3 linked regions of the Caenorhabditis elegans genome follow. The protein of the gene in region 1 purifies or fractionates together with the protein of each later gene. This does not show direct contact. Each region holds a gene or a part of one and is shown in the gene's direction. Other genes may lie near its edges. The genes, in order: Y43F8B.3, srw-137 and cpt-6.

Region 1 (6,925 bases):
TTAATTATGAGAATTTCTGGTGTGTTCAGAAAATTTCCGAAAATTACAGAAAGAATATACAAAAAAAATTTTTTTTTGAATTTTTTGAAATATCCTGGAATTTTTTGAAATTTTCTGTAGATCTCATAAATTTTAAGAAATTTTTAAAAATTACAAAAAAGTAATTCCCAAAGTATCCGAAATGAAATTTTCAAAAAATTCTGGAAGTTTTTTAAAATAATAGGTGAATCCAGTGAAATTCAGTTTAAAAGTTTTGAAATTTTTCAAAAATGTACAGGAAAATTCTAGCAAATTCAGCATTTTCTGAATTTATGTACTTGAATTTTTATGGAAATTTCTGAATTTTCCTGAAAATGTTAGAAAAAAACTTAAGACTACAACAAATTTCTAAAAAAAATCTGTGAAAATTCAAAAAAAAAATTCCATAAACTTTCATGAAACTTTCAGAAATTTTTGGGAATATTTTCTAATTTCATGAAAACCGAGCAAGGTTCATAAGTTTATGGAAAATTTCAAAATATTCAAGGTTTTATAAAGTTTCATGAATTTTTCAGAAAAATCTGAGAAATTTCAAGAAATTCTGAAATAAAAAAATTGAAATTTTCAGGTTTTCTGAAAAAATTCAGAAAATTTAATGGAAAAAAAACGAGCAATTCAAAAAAAATTCACGATTTTTGAATTTTCTGGAATAAAAAAAAATAAAAAAAATTTGCAAAAATTATATTCGAAAAAATCGAATTTTTAAATTTTTGAAATTTTCTGAAGGTTTTTTTTTTGAGTTTGAAAAAATTCAAAAATTAAAACAAAAAATTCCTAAAAAATATCCGTATTTCCTTGACTTTCTGTAATATTCTGGAATTTTTTCTCCGCATTTCTCTGAATTGCCACTAAAACACATTTCCATAGACAATGCACATTCCGACCCCAAAAACAGTATCGAATTTCAGGCCCGCGCCCTAATTAGTTGGCAAGTTTGTTTTGTGTGAATCAGGTCAAACAAAATAATCAAATTTCAATGAGCATCCTGTTTTTTTTTCGAAAACAATTGATTTTTAATTTAGCTCCCATCAACTCTAACCCAATACTTTTTGCTCTTTTTTTCTCCCCCAACCACACACGCGTCGCGTCAAGGAGTTGCACTCATCACTCCAATTTTTTTTGTTCCGCGCGGAAGCTTTTCCCCCCTACGTGACGTATCTCCCGTAGAGACCCCTCAACTAGTCAGGCAGCAGGGGCGTATGTGCTCCGAAGCCGGGAGCACATACCAACTCTCGCGCCTTTATCATTTCATGCCATCTTTTCAAACAATTGCACCATGTGCTTTCAATTGTTTCTTTCTAGGTTTTGGATCAAGTTTTACCGAAATTTTTCATATTCCTGTCCGAAATATATTTTTAAGCTTAAGACTAAGCCTTAGGCTTATCTTTGGCCTGAGCCTACTTTTCACCAGAATTTGCAATTGTGACCTTTAAGCCTATATGGCCTATTTCTCTAATACTAGGCTTAGTCCTAAGTCTAAGCCCAGTCAATGACTCTGACCCAATAGCTAGCTCAGCTAAGCTGAGACTGAATTTAAGCCAAACAACTCTTCAATTTAGCCCCAGGTCCCGAGCCTTTAAGCCTTTAACCGTAGGCACTGAGTCTCAGGCCCTTAGCCCCAGGAGGAAATCCCCCAGTTTCAAGCCCTTAGCCTGAAATCAGGCCTAAGTCCAAGCTTGATGAAAAGCTTAAGCCTAAACCCCCTCCCACAAAAGTTCAAATTTCACTCCCACCACCTCCAAAAAAACCATCCCAGACATTGCGAAAAATCAAGTTTTGCCTAGATTTTCCCGTCCTCCTCCCCCCAAAATCTAATACCTCTCGTCAATAAACAATTGCGTGTCTTGTCAAGTGGTTCAGGGCTCATCGAGCCCCCCACCCAAGTGACTCATCAAGGGTGTGTACTGCCTAATGTTCTCCTACTCTAATATCATTTTATCAGTTGTACAAATGGTTTTCGGCTCGTTTCTTAGTTTTAGGCTCTTGGGCCAAAGTTTTCGGGCTTAGGCTTAGGCTTAGGCTTATGGTTAAGGTTAGGCTTAGGCTTAAGTTTTGGCTTGGGCATTAGGCTTGGGTTTAGGCTTAGGCTTGGTCATTAGGCTTAGGCTTAGGCTTGGTCAGTAGGCTTAGGCTTAGGCTTAGGCTTATAGTTAAGGTTAGGCTTAGGCTTAAGTTTTGGCTTGGGCATTAGGCTTGGGCATTAGGCTTAGGCTTGGTCATTAGGCTTAGGCTTAGGCTTGGTCATTAGGCTTAGGCTTAGGCTTGGTCATTAGGCTTAGGCTTAGGCTTAGGCTTAGGCTTATGCTTAGGCTAAGGTTTAGGCTTAGAATTGGGTATTAGGCTTAGGCTTAGGCGTAGGCTTAGGCTTAGGCATAGGCCTAGGTTTAGGCTCAATTTTGGAGACATTTTTTTTCGGTTCACCAAGTCAGCTTTTTTACACTTTTTTGTTAATTTCTTGAACTTTTTTTTTTCAAAAAGTCAGTTTTTTTCCAATTTCTCTCAAATTTATATGGAATTTTTTTTTAATACTTTACCTCAATTTTTTTTTGTTGCAGGACGATGCCTCCACTCAGGTGGCTCTTTTTAGTACTATGCGCCGTGGTGGCAGTTCGAGCAGCCGATGACAGCCTCATCGGCTCTTTTAAGACAATGTTCTTCGGTAATGAACCTGAGAAGACCAACGACTCCGCCACTTCATCACAAAATAATCCTCCGATCAGTTATCACCAGTATGCGACTGCTTCATCACCATGTAAGTGGTTTTGTAGATTCAGGATTGTTACAATTTTGGGTCCTGGCACGATAGGTACTGTAGGTGTTCGAAAATTTCTAAAGTTTTCGGATTCTGCGGAGCTTGGTTGATAGGGGTAAAATTCAGAAGCTCAAAATTTTTTTGACAATTTTTTTGAACATTTTTTTAAATTAAAATTTTATTAATTTCTCAGTCTTTATACATTTTACTTCTAGTTTATTTAATAATCTGACACACAAACGCTTCAAAGTAACGTCCATAATGCCTAGGTTCCGCCGATTTTGATATTTTGGGTCCCGCCACGCCGGGTACTGTATCTCCAGCTAAAATTGTTTGAAATTTCAAAATTAACGGAAACTACTCGATATGGGTGTCATTTTTAAGGTATTAGCACGAGAATATTGATTTTCATAATAAAAATTTAGTAAAATGTCTAGTTTTTTTTTCAGCCAGCCGCTCACAACCTCCATCTGGACAATCTTGTACCCTGCCACGTCAGATTGGAACTGGACCCTACAGAATTCCAAGATGGTAATGTGTTGTTTTTTTTCAATTTTTGAAAAAAGAGAAAATTTGGGATATTCAAAAAAAAAAAAAATTTTTTCAAATTTTTCAATTTTTTTTGTTGAAAATCTCTAAACTTTTCCAATTTTTGAAAATCAATAACTAACCCAATTTTTCACCTAATTTCAGGTACTATAACCCAGTCCGCGGACGTTGTGAGCTGTTCTATTGGTCCGGTTGCTGTGGAAACGGAAACAATTTCCAGACGTTCCAGACGTGCCAATCGACCTGCGAAGGTGAGCATTTTTCGGGTTTAGATGTCAATTTCACTTTGCAGAATGTAGAAAAAATAATTATGCCCTAGTGGGGATTGAACCTAAGACCTTCTGTTTACAGGCAAATTCCCACTGCGCCACATGGCTCATTTTTTCTCAAAATCCCCAAAAATGTCTTGAAAAAATTGTGCAAAACTTCAGTTTTTTGTACTGTACCCCAAAATCCAATTTTTTTTTGTTACATTTTCTAGCAAATCACACAAAACAAAAAATGTTTACCCAAGTTGGGGGTCGAACCCTGGTCTTGTGGGCCCAAGGAAATTCCCACTGCGCCATTCGGACCAAAACATTTTTATCGATTTTTCGTAACTTTTTGTTTAAAAACTAGTGCTAACTAAATTTATCGAACAAAATTCACGTAAAATTTAACTTGATCGCCGAGCAATTTTCGGTAAACTCGGTAAACTCGGTAAAGTTTTCAGTTTTCATCAAATTTCTCAGAAAAAATTGAGAATTTTTTTGGTTCCACATAAACTACAATCTTTATAAACTGTTTTTCTAGCAAATAACACAAAACAAAAATATTCGACCCTAGCGTGGGGTCGAACCCTGGACGTGAGAGCGCAAGGAAGTTTAAGGAATATCCCACTGCGCCATTCGGACGAATTTTTTTTCGTGGTTTTTAGCGTAAAAACTTGTTTATTATAGGATTTTGAATGTAAAAAAAAATTAAACTGTATAAAAAAAGTGTTCTAGCATCCTCGCAAACAACTTCTCAAACTTCTTCTCAAATAGTCTTCTCGACACCTCAACTCTCTGTATTCCAACCAACTTCCACACAAATCGACGTACTTTTTCAACCGAATCCTCTCAATCATTACCTCTCCATGCCGCCCGTCCTCTGTTCGTGCTGTTTCCGACCGTACTCCGAGGGTTACGGTAGCTCGAATCTCCTCCGATTCTACTACGACGCTCCGGCGAAACAGTGTCGACAGTTTATTTATAAGGGACTGGGTGGCTATGGTAATCAGTTTGAGTCGGAGTTCAAGTGCCGAAATTCGTGTGGAGTTAGTGGGCTCGCCGAGCCACAAACACTGGCCACGCCCCCACCGACGATGATGGTGACGTCATCAACTTCTCAACTTCCTCCTGTCGTCTATCTTTCAACAGGTTCTTAGCAGTGTTGTTTTTGGTCGCTTTGAGCTTTTTATTGCTTTTTATTCTTACCTGAAATTTTTTTGTTGTGTGCTGTGAAAATTTTGAAACATTTTACAAAAAAAAATTTGGAAAAAATTTTTTTAAGTCACATTTTTTCTCAGAATATTATTAAATTGCTAAAAAATTCAAATCTATTGCCTGTTTGCTTCTGAAAAAAGTTATTTCAGTAAATTACACAAAATAAAAAATTTTGACCGCAGCGGGGAGTCGAACCCCGGTCTCGTGGGTGCAAGGAAAATCGCACTGCGCCATTCAAACAAATTAATTTTTTAGATTTTTTAGTGTTCTTTACACACATTTGTGCTCAAAAGTAGTTTTCCTAGTACAAAACAGAAAATAAAAATATTTTGACCCCACTGGGAGTCGAACCTTGGTCTTGTGGGGTCAAGGAAAATCCCACTGCGCCATTCAAACATTTTTGCCAAAAATCGATATTTTCAGATTTTTCAAACAAATTCTGATCAAGATGTGTGTGTTGTTGTGTTTTCCACATATTCAACAGCTTATTCCTCGTGTAAAATCCCCCCCCCCCCCCCCCCCCCATCAACTTAAAACTCACTCGCCCCCTCAAATCAGTGTGTGCTCATTTTCAGTCGATCCGTGCTCTCAGGACAAGGAACCGGGCGTGGGCGCCGTCCAACTGCCCCGCTTCTTTTTCAACAAGGATTCCCGGATTTGCGAGCAATTCCAGTATTTTGGCACCGGCGGGAATCGCAATAACTTCCAGACGCTTGAAGAGTGTCAAGCACAGTGTCCAGGTTGTGTAACTGCACCCCCTACTAATTAATCATGCATGAATATTTACGAAAAATCAATAATTAACATTTTTTGGTTAAAAAATTTTTGGAAGAAAAAAAAAATGTTTCGAATTTTTTTTTTCAAATTTTAATCTTTTCCTTTCTATTTGCTTTCTTATATCTATATTTTTTGGTATTTCATATAGCCTAGTTCCCGGTGTCGGTTATCACAACATTATTACAAAACTTTACCTCTATGGCATGTGCAAAGGGTAGCTGGTGGTGCAAAAATCCAATAATTCCCAATCCCCCAAAAATCAATAAATTTCCAGAAAGCCCGAATCCATGTGCCGTTACCGGTGGTGCAACACTATCTCCGTGTGCTCCGGGTCAGGGATGTGGTACTGGAAGCTATTGCCACGTCGGAGCCCAGACACAGACCACCGTGTGCTGCCCCAAGCCGGCGGCCGTCGATCGATGCCAACAACCGTTGAATGTTGGAATTGGTAACTCGAATTTGCAGAGGTAATGAATTTTAGGGAAAAAAGTTTTAAAAAAAGTTTGACCACAGCGGGAGTCGAACCCCGGTCTTGTGGGCGCAAGGAAATTTAAGGGATACCCCACTGCGCCATTCGGACAAATGTATTTGTTCTGGCGGTTTTGATCAATTTTCATTACCAATGTTGTTTAAACTCACTTTACAGCACAAAAAGTTAGCACAAAAATTTCACTTCCAGGAAAATTGATTTTCCTATTTTTTAAAATTTTCTTTAAAAAAATCTTTTTTTTTTAAATTTATTCACACATTTTTTGTCTAAAAACTTTTTTTCTTTCCAAATCACAAAACAAAAAAAAAATTGACCACAGCGGGGGCCGAACCCCGGTCGTATTGGCGCAAGGAAAATCAAGGAAAAACCCACTGCGCCATTCGTCCCAAAATTTCAAAATTTTCTTTTTTTTTTATTTTCAAGATTGTCATAGTGGCTTCAACTAAATTTTCAAGTAAAGTAACAAAAACAAAAAAAATGTTGGCCACAGCGGGGGTCGAACCCCGGTATTGTGGGTGCAAGGAAAATCAAGAAAATCACACTGCGCCATTCGGACATTTCTCCTAAAAATCTGAAAACTCTTGAATTTTCTGATTTTTTTTTCAATTTTAAGATTTTCCTACCCATATTAATGTGTAAACCAAAAAGAGCTCTCCGAGCTCGCCGAGCAATTTTCCACGTCAAATTCAAATTTTTCAGATGGTACTTCAACCCGCTTACCCAACAATGCTCAACATGCACTTATCGTGGACTCCAAGGAAATGAGAACAACTTTTTGTCTCAAAATGAATGCGAGCAGTCTTGTTTGGGCGAGTTTCGAAAAAATGATTGAAAAAAATGATTTTTTTTTGG
Region 2 (5,814 bases), about 17 Mb from region 1:
AACGCGATATATTAAATTCAACTTTTGAAAACATCGGGTCGGCTATTTGCACCACTGGACACGAACCGAGCCAAAATGCCAGCCGCGCCCGCCTTGCGGCTACCTCCGCCTGCCTCGCGCCGCCTGCATGTAGTGCGGCGCGGAACCTGAAAAGTGTCGGCCGCGGAGATAAAACCACCTTACACACTATGTGGTACAGAAATGAGGCGAGAGGCCTGCGGGCAGGTCGGCAGCAGGCTTGAGGCCCTACCGCGCCTGCCTCCCATGGAATCCCTACCGTTTTTTTTTACGATTAACACGCGGTAGATTTTTTTTGTATAACTGTTATGTTATTGATTCTGGATTTGTGTTTCTATCGAATTTGGCGAACGTATTCTGAAGTATTACGTATTCGGCAATTTCACTTCAAAACTTACAGCTTGTAAAACATTTTTCCTTTTCCTCGTTTTTGGAGTAATTATGAAAATAAATTGAAGTAATTATGAAAATATGAGTATATTGCTTTTGTAGGTTGGAAACAGAGGGTATTTGATGTTTCACAATGACCGTGCTTCCTCATTTACTCCACTAGGTTCTTAGTTGTCTTTATTTTTGTTGAGATAACCAACTGAGTCATCCTGTTCTCAGAAAACTTTTGTCATTTTTTGTTTATAGAAAACAACTGTCATATCGACCAAAAAACTGGGTTTATTCACTTCACAGTTTTTTTTTGTGAAAATCGTGTGAGCATGTCTAGTCTCCGTGAGTATTACTTAACAAACTATACAACATGTCCAAGATGCGATACGTTTTTGTGCTCTTGGCAAGACTTTTCTTACACTTCCCATTTTTTGACTGCATTTTCACTTCCAGTTTATCTTTTTGGAGGTTACTGTATCCTATACAAAAGCCCAAAGGAAATGTCAACCTATCGAATTCCGCTTTTCAATTTCCATGTTTGGTAAGTATACACATCACAAACATTGACTGTGCACATGTAGAAATATTCAGGACGTGTCTGGCGGATGTGTTTTTGAATTGCCTCGGGACACCATATATATTTCTTCCAACTCTCACGGGATTTTCAGTTGGCTTGTTGAACTTTTTGGGTGTCCCACCGAAAATTCAGGCTTGGCTGGCATTTCAGAGTCTGAATTGTAAGTTTAGGTATCCGGAAGTGTAGCAATCTGGAAGCTGGAACAGTTCCCATCAGATACATTTTAAAAATCCGCAGCCGACATTGAGCGAGATCGCGTCAGACCACACAGCGCGCAATCAATTTCACAAAATCAAAAAATTGTTTCAGTCATGTTATTATCTACAACAATATTGGTAGAAAATCGGAATAACGCAATTCCATTCAACAAGTTCAAAATAACTCGGAAAAGTACGAAAACTATTTACTATCTAACAAAACTACTGATTGGAGTATTTTACGCAGCATCATTCACATTTTTCATACCAGCAAACCAGGAAGAAGCACTCTTTAAAGTTCTCAGACGGCTTCCATGTCCTTCTCAAGACTTTTTCACGGCTTCCAATATTTTTGTATTGTGCATCGATGATTATCATATTCATTTTTTAATTGCCTTCACAGTATTAGGAGTTGTGGTAGAAGTGATTCAAATTTTGTTTTACTTGACATGTTGTGTCTACTATTTGTTTTTCTCGATTCGTTCGTTTACTTCAAAGACCACGAGAAAGTTGCAAATTAAATTTTTGGCAAGCATACTTCTACAAATTTCAATTCCTGTTTTGTTCATGTTACCGACCGCTTTTTATATTTGGTTTGCTGTTGATTTTAATTATTATAATCAAGGTTCGGAATAAATTTGTGGGTAAATTTAAACAAAAAACCAATTTTCCAGCATTAACCAATTTGTCAATTCTTCATGCTTCAATTCATGGCTTAATATCTACAGTCGCTGTACTCATTATACATCATCCTTATCGGCAGTTCGTTTTGTCATATTTCTGGAAATCTAAACCAAAACAACCCTTGAAAAATATCGATATAGATTCTGTGGTAATTACTCAAATTGTTATCAAATAATTTTTTCATAAAAGGAGTTTTTTTAATAAACTATGTTTTTTTACAAACCTTACCTTTTTTCCTACAAATCAACAAAGCCGAAGAGCAGTAGAATGCTCAAATATCACAACAGGGATGTGCTGAAATCGGAAATTTTTGACAACTTTGGCCATTGCTGGAGCAATTGCCACCCGGCCATGCTTCAAAGTGATGTCTGAACGTAGCCTGAAAATTAAGGGATAATTATCATTTCTGCAGCTTCCGTCTTCGATTTAATAATATATTTTTCTGAGACAATTCCCTTTTTTTAGTTCCAGCTTTTGAGTAAAATATTCGTTCTTCAATTCCTTCCGCAATAAATCAAAAAAAAAAATTAAATTTCTGGAGGCTTTCTGTTTTTCCATTCCTTTTGATATCAAAAAGTTTTTAGTTTTACAACAATGATTAGTGACAAATATCTTCAAATTGATTTTCCGGGCTTTGAGCATTCTACTGCTCGTCGGCTATACCGAATCGAAAGATATCTGGCGTAAGTGTCATATAAATCAAAAGAAAGGTATTTCAAGATCAGAGAGTTTCAGAGTTTTCACAGAGAAAGTTCTGTCATATGAGTCTATCATTTCAATTACTTGTATTTTGGTAAACATTTTACATTCTGCAATTCTGACAAGAAAATCTATGAGAAACTCCTCCATAAATATCATTATGACTGCAGTGGCTATTTTAGACATTTGCACATTTTTTTCAGAACTCAAGAAAATCGTCGAGCGATTTCTCCGAGATTATTACGATTGTTTTCAAAGTGAAACATATACTTTTGTAATAATCGAAACTTCGTTTCAAGTCCTCCAAGACTATTCCCGGCGGTGTTCAACGTGGCTTTGCTTTCTCATCGCGCTTATTCGAACACTAGTCATCAGAAATCCTCTGAACCAAAGCTACCAGAAATTAGCCGGTCCTGCCCTCTCTGGTTTTGCAATTCTCGGAATATTATTTTTGAGTCTTCCGATTTCAGTGGTCTTTTCTCTGGAATATGAACTAATGAAAAGTTCTGTGCCATCATTTTGTAATTCAACTGAAACAACTTACTACACAGTTATATCTGATATGTTTGCGGATAATGATGGGTATTATTTGAAAATATTTTCAATTGTTAACGGGCTCGTTTCAAATGTAATTTCTTTTCGTTAGGCCTAACTACAGGGTTTTCTAAATTCCAGATAATTCCCTGCGTGCTCTTCCCGATAGTAACTTTCCTATTGGTCGTCGAGCTCTGGAAATCGGATAAAAAGCGAAAAAATCTTTCTTCCACTGCAAATGTAAATGACTCTAGAAAAACTACTAGACTGGTATTCTACATATCTATTACGTTTTTTATCGCCGAATTTCCGCTTGGAATAACATTGGGTGCAACTTGGTTTTTTCTCGATGTTCCTGGAATGAAGTGAGTTGATCATTGCCTGAGTGACGCCACTAAGGCATCGAGGAACTCCGTTTTTGATGCAACCAGCGAAATGTCGGCCGCGCGATAAATATCTTTTATTAAATTTTAACCGGGTTGTTTTATGATTTAGATCAATAATGAGTTACTTCTACTACAATTTTTCCTTGCTCCTGTCTGCAAATACAGCTACCCACTGCATAGTTTGCTTCTTCATGTCATCTCAATATCGGATTGCTGCAAAGCAAGTAGTGTCCTGTGGATATTTGACTCAGGTTCGGGTATGTTTCAGGCTTGATGCAACATTTTGTAGATTTAGAAAAACAAAGCAACTGTGATTCAAGTCACTCACACTAGTTCTGCAAGGCGACAAGTTTTTAAAAAGTGAGGTTGACAAAATGCCGAGGACGAGTGGAAATTGCTACAATTGTATGTTAATTTACTATGATTTGTATAGCTTTTCATTCAAGTGTTTTAAGAATAAATATTTTTTTCACTATCGGTAGAACATCTTGTTTTGATCTAGCTGGTTAGAGATGAATCAAAGAGATTTCTAACACATCTATGTTTTTTTTTCTTGAAGCTAATTAATTTTTCTCGAATTTTTTCTTTTGATTCATAATAACACGACGAAAAACATTGTCTTGTGTTTTTATCAGCTCCGCGCTTTGTTCAAAATATCAGAGAAAACCCGTTTCACATACATAGGTATATTCAAAAACTTTCAAATTATTCCAAAAGCTTGGGCCAAAAATTTCTGATTTTCAACTAAATTGGTGAAAATATTTAATTTAACTGTGCATTCCTGACTCACAAAAACAAAATTTCAACTATCCCCACTACACTCTGAGAAATTAAAAAAACCGGACGGCTTACATCCGGCATTAAATGTGGTGTAGTCAAATTTTTTTGTTGTTTTATTAGACTCAAAATTGTCTGAAAACACCGAATTTCATAATGAAACTTCCTGAAAACTTCTCAAAAAAAAAAGCTATGACGGCTCAAAAAAATACCTAAAATTAGTTAAAATTTGAAATTTGACTGACTTGTCAATGTTGCAGCACCTGGAGACTAAAAACTTTTTTGAAATCACAGTCTAATTTTGAGTATGTAGTGTTAATTTTTCATTTTTTTAAATCAAATCTCCCGTCCATCAACTTTAAAAAGCCTTAATCGAGTTGAAAACTCAAGATATTTAACTAGTATACCCAATTTTGGTGATATACGGTGATTTCAAAACAGTCAGCTTCAAGCTGCTGACAAGTCAAATTTCAAACTTTAACCAGTTTTAAGCTATTTTTTGAGCCGTCATAACTTTTTTTTGAGAAGTTTTCAAGAAATTTCATTATGAAATTCGGTCGTTTCAGAGTCTAATAAAGCAATAAAAAAATTCGACTACACCACCTTTTAAACAAAAATTGGATTTTTGGATTGCAACCCTAACAGAAACAAAATGTCGACATGCAATGCCTACCAAAGAAACTATCCAGGATATGATAACGCCACAGCAATTTTTCTATGCCAATTTGAGGCTCGACTTTTGTGAGTTTAAGCTCTGGCAAATATTTATGGTTAGATGAATTTGCTTCATTTTCAGTAAGATATCAGGACACGTTTTTAACTATGAACATTATCTCTCCATTGCAAGCATTTTCATAAACATTTTTCATTTTTTGATTCTCATCCGAAAGCCTTTACGGAGTTCATCTATCAATATTATCATGGCTTTTATTTCAATTTTCGATATATGCTCAATGCTCTTCAGAATGAAACAATCATATGGTCCATCGATAGAATACATATTTGATCCATGCATGCAGTCAAAGTGGTATTTCAACGTATATTTGGAGAAAATCCTTCTAGTTGTCAAAGATCATTCCCAACGATCTTCGACATGGCTCCTATTCTCGATTGCACTGATTAGAACGTTGGTCATACGAAATCCTATGAATCCAAAATACGAAAGACTTGCACACCCACCAACATCATTATTTACAATGATTTGTATAAATTTGATCTTCGGCCCAATTTCAATAGCCACCTTTTTCGGGTCTGATATAACGTCACAAAACCACACATCTTCGTGTGATCCGGATGGAGTACTTTTTTATTATCTGGACATATCTGCGTCTTACAAACAGAATGATGGCATGATTCTGAAAATATATACTTTAATCAATTCAGTGGTCTCTACGGTTAGTTTGAATTAGGAAAAAGGTCAACAAAAACGTTTAAAAAATTGATATTTGTGTTGTGCCAGTGGGAAAACTTTTAAAAACCACTCCTACGGTGCCAAAATTTATACTGCGTTTTCGTCTTTTTTTAAAAAACTGCAGCACTGTTGCGACCCCTTCAATGTTTG
Region 3 (8,391 bases), about 13 Mb from region 1:
CTTGTCTCATCATCGAATTGTTTTTTCCTGCATGTGATGAGAAGTATGATGATGTCTGAGGAGTGGAGAGTATCCAGTATTGTACTTATGTTTGTACCTGTACCATCTGAAGAAGCATGGGTTAAGAACATTGTGGAATCTGGAAAAAACAGTTTGAACTGGTAACAAATGTTTTTAAAGCAGGACAGCAATACAAACTGAACTAATTAAAGATTTAAAAATTGCTCAAGATTACTGAAACTTTGGTAAAAATTAAATTCCTTGGTAGTCAAGAACCAGGGACAAACTTTAGTTGTGCAAACTGTTATTACGATGACGTCTAAAAGTGAGAATTTTCGTCATATCAAAAGTTTCGCCGTGCTGGGAACAAATTACAGTATCTCATGTTGATTCCCGGGTAGCTGATATTCTTAGGACTACCTTTTTTAAGTTTTAATTTAAATAATTGAGATTTTTGTTCGTAGGATATGAAAAAAATTCTAACTTTTATTAGTCCAGGTAATACGGTAATCTGGTTTTTCACAAAACAGCCCTCTGAAAATTGTTTACAAGTGCAGCCCCAGTATTGTGTCTTATTTGGAATTATTCGGGAAAAGCTTGAGTTTATGATCTACTAATTTTTTAAAGTTTGTGCACTTTCCATTATCAGAAATGTTGTGGAAAGCTCTTTCTGTAAGGTAAAAAAGATATTCTGATGAAATAAATATTTTATTTTACATACCGTCGTGCAGGAAACAATTCCAAGAAACATATTTGATTACTTTTTTAAAATTATTTTAAGCTACAGTATGAAGGGATTCTACCCGCAGTTTAAAATATTTCCCATCTGATAAAAACTTTTTTTTTAATCCTAGGCTACATCGTAGCACCCTAAAGCTTTCCCATTTCGACCAGCTGTGTTTGCATCCACGAATTTTCTCATAACCGCCTGCAGTGAAGATTCTCCGATAGTAGGTCAACCAGACAAACTTTCCCTCTCTATCATTTCGCCCTGCTTGTGTGTTTCCTTACTCTACATCAAACTGTTATCGGACATATTTTTCGTCGACATTTTGACCGGCGGTTATTGTACTTTTATAATTTTCCAGTGCGTTTTTAAGCTGAACTTTCATTTGAATTTTGGCGGGTTCTTTTGTAGCTTGCTCGATTTCCAGGTGACACAATTGATAGGGCTGGGAGATCTTTCAAACTTAAATCTAGAGTTGCACCAGGGAATATCATCTATATACTCGTACGATAATCTGAAATAATCGAATATCATTTTAAAACTACCGAAAATTCTTGGATTTTTCAGATTTTTCAGGAAAAATTTTGGTAAATAGCCAATTTTACCAAATTTAAAACAGGTTTTTTTGAGGAATTTGGAGCAATGCGGCATGTTTGAACTTTTTTTTATAGTAGGTAATTTTAGCACTGGTTTTAAACAGTACTCCCAATTCTTTTAAAATTATCAAAAACTCTTGATATCCCAACTTATTATTTTACTTCTGAAATTTATTTCCAAAATGAAAATATATTATTTTTAGTAGATAAATTGCACCATATTCTTTCAAACCACCTGCACCAAACCTCACAGGTCTGACTACAATCTAGTTACGACCCCTTTAAATCTAGATATTGATCGGCCTTCTATCTAGATTTTGTCCCATTGTTCCTTTTATCGACTAGAATTGTGCACACCATATGGTGTTCAATATTGCCTTTTTCCTCTTTTCCAGATACGTGTTCTACTTTTTTGTTTTCAGTTTGTTTTTGTTTTTTATAAAGCATTGAAAGTAAAATTTTTTTTAGAAATGCATATTGTTTAACTAGAATTTTTGATTTTTCCGGAATAATATTTGTTCTGTGTTACAAAATTTTTCAGAAAGCCTTTCAAAAATTTTGAAACTGAAATCTTTTTTCAAATCTTCCAAATAAAAAACATATTGAAGAATATATGACGGGTTTTTTCTAAAAAATTATTTTTCCGCAATGCTTTATTTGCAGGTTTTTCTCCAAATTTTGGTTGACAGAAAATAAATTCTATTCATAAAATATGCCGTATTTCCTTCTCACTCTACATCTCTCCATTTTCTGATGGGATTTAGAAACCCTATATTTGTTGTGCTCAGGCTTTTTTTTCGCTCATTCAACAACACGGAACAAAACTCTCGTTTTTCATCTTATTTTTTGCTTGAAGCAGACTCTGCTCACTCTACTCCACTTTGTACTCTACTCTTTTTGCTTCAAAAGCCATCGTTCTCTTATCTCAGCCATTTTTTGAAGAGTTTCCAGCACATGATTCTCTCGAAATATTTTGTTTCCTATCGATAAGATTATGAGAATGAAAGTCAACTAGAATACGATCAGAATACAATTTTGATCTTTCTCCTTTAAAAAGTCAGCAATAAGTGTAGACGGAGACTGGAGAAAAGGCAAAGTTAAATTGATAATGTAGATTAATTAGTTTTCTTTTTTTGTGATTCTCATCCCCCAATTTTATCACCACAACATCACTCACGTTCATCAAATTTGTTGTTTTTTCGTCTGCAGCCTTCTAAACTTTATTACCTATCCTGCCAATTTCAACTCTTCAATTTCAAAAACCTTACCATAATTTCAGATGTCGTCCAACAAAAAGAAAACAGTTCGTTCACCATATCCTTTTCCAACAAAATTCCCATCGCCAATTGAACAAGCATCCTACAAGACCTACGTAAGTTTTATCAAATCAGAAAATTGGCTAATTTACCTCAATTGACCTTTTCTACGTGTTGTGGGAAGTCAGAGAAAAACTAGTTGTTAAGTGGGTAGAATTTGGAATTTCGAATTGGATCTAGTTTAGGAAACAAAACACAGAAAACAATTTTTTTTTAAAACATTACCTTTTTCAAAGTTACCAAACAACCATGAAGTATCTATATTTTCAGAATTGGATTGAGAACACACTTTGGCCTATCAAACCGATTCCATTCGTTGCCACAACCGTTGCTCTGGCGGCCACCCTACACTACAAATACCCAGAAAATGCGATTCTTGATCTTCTTCCAAAGTTCGGATCGGAAGTTGCTGAAATTGCAAAAACCACTGCAGTCGCGGCAATTGGATCCTACGCAGGAGTATTCACACTTCGAAAACTTCTCAAGCACTTCTACTTCTCATACAAAGGATTCTTGTTTGACAACCCAAAGAAGCCATGTTTGAAAACGAAAATTTGGGGTGTAAGTTATTTTGTAACACCATCAGAATTTATTGTTCAAATTTCAGATTGTCCGACACATTCTCTCAATTTCCCCACCAATCCTTGAATCTTGTGATCGCCTTCTTCCGAGTCTCCCGGTACCAGCTCTCAAAGACACTATTTCTGAATACCTTGACTCCATGAAACATATTCTATCAGAACAAGAGTACGAGATTGTCGCCAAGCAAGCACATGAGTTTCTGGAAAACGAGGGAAAGAAGCTTCAGAGATACACGTGGATCTACTCTTTGTTCACCGACAACTATGTCACCTCGTTCTGGCAAAAGTATGCATATCTTCATGGGAGATACCCACTTATGATTAATAGCAGTGTTGCTCATTGTGACTTGCTCCGAGACAAAGAAGCAACACGAGCTCACAGAGCAGCTCGAGTAACCTGGATTGAAGTCATGTCGCATCTTGCAATTGATCGTCAACAGTACAAGGCGGTATGTTTTTTTTGTGATTCCTGATCGTTTGTATTTTGCCCTATTTCTTATCAGTGAATGTTACACGTCGCAATCTTGCACCGAAAAAAACCAAACAATTGTTTTGATAACATTTTATCATCAATATGAATGTTTCCAGCTTGGCGACGGACTTGTCTGCACCAGACATTACAAAAATATGTATGCAGTAACCCGAGAACCAGGGAAGAAGATTGATCAGCTGATATTGCACGGAATTCAGAAGCACATTGTAGTGGTGTTGCGTGGAAAATACTATAAGATTCACGTGGTTGATGATAAGAACAACATCTACACTGTGGAACAATTGACGAAGTACGTAAAAGTTAATCGAAAAAGGATCTGCACTACTGATATTTTATAACATCAGAGTTTATTATATTAGTCGCAAGACGCAAGTTGGAAAAATATTCTAACCAGGAAATTGCATATGGTGTAATGGAAATTGTAAAGCAAATGGCATATTTTCTAAAAGCTCATCAAAAGCTATGAAGAAAAAAGTTGCTAAAAGTTTTATCGTTTGCTAACTTTGGCAACTGCCGATATCATCTTCGAAATTGAATTCAAATATTTTTGTTAAAAACAACTCATTCAGAGATGCTGAAAAATGCGAACATCTTACTGTTAAATACCATTTTTTCTTAAAAATTCCAAAGTATAAGCTCAGCAACAATTTATTTTAGAGCAACGCTAAAACTACTGAAACTTCAAAAAATGGGGGTAGCCAAAAATACAGAGTTAATTACATATTTAAATTTTAAACACGTTATATATACACGAAATTTCAAAAATTTATTTTAAACGCATTTGGTTATCTTTATGGAAAATATGGAATTTCAAATGTGCACTGATTTTCAAATTTTTTTAAACTGAGAATTTTGGAAAATATGGAGTTTCAAATGTGCACTGATTTTCAATTTTTTTTAAACTGAGAATAATGGTGAATATGGAGTTTCAAATGTGCACTGATTTTTAAATTTCTTTGAACTGAGATGCATATAAGCGTCAAAAAAACATGCTAAAAATTTCAAAATTTAATGTCAGCAACTTGCCAAACATTTTAATAAAAATTCCAAGTAAAGCTTTAAAAATCAATATAAATAATTAATTCTAGAATTTTCCACGAAATGATTTCCCGAGACGAGAAGGAGGAAGGGGTTATTGGAAAAATCGCAGCATTGACCCACGATACCAGGGACTCTTGGCACAGAAACCGTCAAAAGTATTTCCTTGGAAACGTGAAAAATGCTCAAATCCTCAAGGAAATCGAGTGTGCTGTATTCTTTTTCACACTCGATGAGAATGATGATTATGGATATGATGAGAAGAAACCCGAAGTTCTCAGCAACTTCCTTGCCAATTGTCTTTCTGGAGATGGAACTAATCGATGGGTTGATAAGTCTCTTAATTATATTTGTTCGAAAAATGCTCGATGCGGTGGAACAACTGAGCATTCTATTGCGGATGGAGCAGAATTTGATCATATTATGGAAAACTTTGTATATGTAGATTTGGAAGTTTTGAAATACAAATCAATTGAAGAGCAAGAGAAAATGGCAGTTATTGAAGAGAATGATAAGAAATCTCTGAAGCTTGCTACTCCATTGAACTTTGAAGTTCCAGATCAAGAGGTAAGCTTCATTTTTTGCCTTACCTTTCAGGTCAAAATAATCATTTTTCAGATGCTCTCCGAGATCACTCGCTGCTACGATGCTCATCAAATCGCCAAGAATGACCTTGACCTGTATGCCCTTGCATTCCGTGATTTTGGAAAAGGACGTATCAAGAAGTGTGGTGTCTCACCAGATGCATTCATTCAAATGGCTATTCAACTTGCCAACTATCGAGATCAAGGCAAATTTGTGCTCACATATGAACCAGCATCAGCTCGATTCTTTGCAAACTCGAGGACCGAAACTTTGAGAACAGTTAACGATCACTCTTGTGAATTTGTGGAAGCTATGTTGAATGCAAATGAAACGGTAAGTTAATTTGAAGTTATTAAGACGATGAAAAATTCAAATTTCAGAAAGAAGCCAAGATTGCTCTTTTGAAAAAAGCTTGTGAAACTCATGTTCTTCGAAACAAGAAGTGTATGGTTGGGCAAGGAGTCGATCGTCATCTCTTTGTTCTGTATATTTTATCTCAAGGAACGGGGATTCAGAGTCCTTTCCTTGACAATTATATTAATCAAAAGTGGAAGCTATCTACCTCACATGTGAGTAATCATTAAAATAAGATGACATAGTGCTATGTATTTGGCAGTTGTATCACGTAACTTTCTAATAATGAGCTGAAGGATTTTAATTCAAACATTTTTCAACAATTGCTTTTTCTGGATTTTCCTAATTATTTTTTTTTTAACTTTACAATTTGAACATATCCTATTCCAGGTTCCAAACGTGACTAATCAATGCGACGAGGACACTGATTCAGACAACACTTGGCTCGGAGCATGCTTCGGAGCAGTCGCTGCTGATGGCTACGGAATCTGCTATCGCTTTGGAGGAAACCACGGAATCTTTGCAAACATCACAAGTTATCATTCCGCTGCCAACACTGATTCAACAAAGTTTGCAAAGTTGCTCTCCGAATCGTTCCACGAACTTTCAAACCTTTTCGTTTGAACCATCCCATTTTGTAACAAACGGTTTTATACCCATAACTTGTACCAATTTGAACTCATTCTGCACTATCATTCTAACCTGTTTCATATATTACTGTCACTCAGTCAATAAAATAATTTTTATTAAATAAAAAATTCTCTCGTGTATGACCCATTCAAAAATCACCTGAAATGACTCATGACCAGTTCACGATCTATGCTCAATTCTTGGTGTACACCAGACTATGACTCATGTAAAACTGGTGAAATGTCAAACAGAGTTTCCGATCAAAAATGGCAATTGTACGAGAATTTCATTTTTGATAGCATCACGTTGTGTGTGCCGATGGAAAGATGATTTTAGCACAAAAACTGCAAAAAACGGTTTTTATAGTGCACCAAAAAAGATGGAAAAAGATCTGAAAATGAATGAAATTGAAACTTAAATCTCTTAAGATTAAATATGAAATTTTGCCAATCTTTTCGGTAGGTTTTTGAAATCATGGAAACAGTTCTGGAAAGTTTGCAAACTTGACTATTTGTTTAGCTGACAAATTGTTGATGTGACTTGAATTCGCACCCTTTTCTAGATGAACTAATCCAAATTAACAAACGTAACGAAACATTTTCGAGGACAACAATCCTTTCATATTCATAACTACAGAAATCTGAACACCTTTTCAAAACATTATTTAACATCTAATTTTTTAAAATTCGTGGCATTTGTATGTAGAATTATGTTGTAAAATGATGTAATGATAGTGAGAAATCATTTAGATCTGTAACCTAAATACAATTTTTATACCCTCTATTAGACAAAACTTGATATTTAAAACTTTTTGTATTTCCAAAATGATGTTCCGTCATGCTGAAAAACAAAATAAACCAACAAAAAATTATGCTTCGAGCTGATTACTTGCAAATTATTAACAGAAACATTTCATTCCTAATCAGACGCAACGATTGAATTTGATTTTTCTTCCCCATCAGTTGAGTAATTACATCCTCTTTCATTGAATTCCAACTTTTAGTCTTATTCAGTTCTTTATTTGCCATTGATTTCCCAAATGTAGAAGTGTGTCTGATACCTCCCATTGATTCTTAGTCTTTAAGCAAATAAAACTCGCCTGATGTCATAGAAATATCGATAAGAGTTTGAATAAAAGTCGTGGCATTTCCTCACTTCTCTATCGGTTCAATCGGTCTTACTATCAACTAACATGCACTCCTATCACAACCCCGTGAGTTTTTGATTTTCTAGAATTTTCCAGTTTGGAAACTTCAAGTTTTCAATAAACCAAATTTCAGGGTGTCCCAACCGCTCTCTCGATCTTCGAGCCACTTCAAGATGGATCCACCATCTCTGTTCACGGACATGTTCGTCACGGACATCACAAGAACTTTGCCGTCGAGCTTTTGAGCGGACCAAATGTTGTTCTTCATGTCAACTTCCGTTTCCATCATGAACACGTCGTTGTCATGAACTCCCAGTTCAGTGGAATGTGGGGACCAGAAATCCGTCACAAAAACCCACTTCACCACTCGGAGCACTTCCACCTTAGCATCAAGGTTCACGCTGGATATTACCATGTAAGTTTTAACGTATTTAATTTTATAGTTAACTGTATTCAATTTCAGATCTCTGTGAACGGTCATCACCTCGCCGACTACCCACATCGTTACCCATACCAATCGGTTCAAGCCATCGGATTGAAGGGAGACGTTCATGTTGACAAGGTTCACTTCGAAGGATTCCACTTCCAACGTCGTTGGGACGGACATGTCGATCATGGACACTCTGGATACAATGCCTATGGAACTGAAACCTATGTTGCTCCAGTGTTTGTTCAGCCAAACTTTATGCCATACGGAGCACCACCACCACCAGTCCAAAACTTCAACCCATACAGATAAATCGGGGATCTTATTTTTTTAATGTATTTTTTGGAATTTTCGACGTTAATTGTCAAGTTGTTTTATAAATTTTGCATGTCTTATGAGTTTTTGTTGATAAAAAATGTTTAAATTTAAAAATCGCTAATGCTCAGAAGCCTTTGCTCTCCATTTTCTTTCAAACGTTCGCAAAGAAAACTGAATTT

Evidence for each region.
Region 2: the proteins of Y43F8B.3 (region 1) and srw-137 fractionate together in Caenorhabditis elegans (co-fractionation; one large-scale study listed by BioGRID). This does not show direct contact.
Region 3: the proteins of Y43F8B.3 (region 1) and cpt-6 fractionate together in Caenorhabditis elegans (co-fractionation; one large-scale study listed by BioGRID). This does not show direct contact.

The regions. Positions count from the first base shown.
Region 1 is NC_003283.11:19,500,514-19,507,438, forward strand, and holds the start of Y43F8B.3 (BPTI/Kunitz inhibitor domain-containing protein), read left to right. Parts: upstream 1-2,598; coding exon 2,599-2,791; intron 2,792-3,240; coding exon 3,241-3,322; intron 3,323-3,484; coding exon 3,485-3,591; intron 3,592-4,326; coding exon of another isoform or gene 4,327-4,740; intron 4,741-5,381; coding exon 5,382-5,546; intron 5,547-5,857; coding exon 5,858-6,050; intron 6,051-6,772; coding exon 6,773-6,882; intron 6,883-6,925.
Region 2 is NC_003283.11:2,940,597-2,946,410, reverse strand, and holds srw-137 (G-protein coupled receptors family 1 profile domain-containing protein), read left to right. Parts: upstream 1-2,451; coding exon 2,452-2,540; intron 2,541-2,592; coding exon 2,593-3,184; intron 3,185-3,231; coding exon 3,232-3,455; intron 3,456-3,585; coding exon 3,586-3,727; intron 3,728-3,771; coding exon 3,772-3,840; downstream 3,841-5,814. Other genes in the region: srh-87 (Serpentine Receptor, class H), read left to right, coding at 729-940, 991-1,136, 1,286-1,798, 1,848-2,032; srw-143 (G-protein coupled receptors family 1 profile domain-containing protein), read left to right, coding at 4,906-4,994, 5,050-5,647.
Region 3 is NC_003283.11:6,488,133-6,496,523, reverse strand, and holds cpt-6 (Choline/carnitine acyltransferase domain-containing protein), read left to right. Parts: upstream 1-2,602; coding exon 2,603-2,695; intron 2,696-2,909; coding exon 2,910-3,200; intron 3,201-3,246; coding exon 3,247-3,669; intron 3,670-3,808; coding exon 3,809-4,002; intron 4,003-4,801; coding exon 4,802-5,318; intron 5,319-5,369; coding exon 5,370-5,669; intron 5,670-5,716; coding exon 5,717-5,905; intron 5,906-6,080; coding exon 6,081-6,314; 3' UTR 6,315-6,438; downstream 6,439-8,391. Other genes in the region: lec-10 (Galectin), read left to right, coding at 7,513-7,533, 7,601-7,882, 7,931-8,206.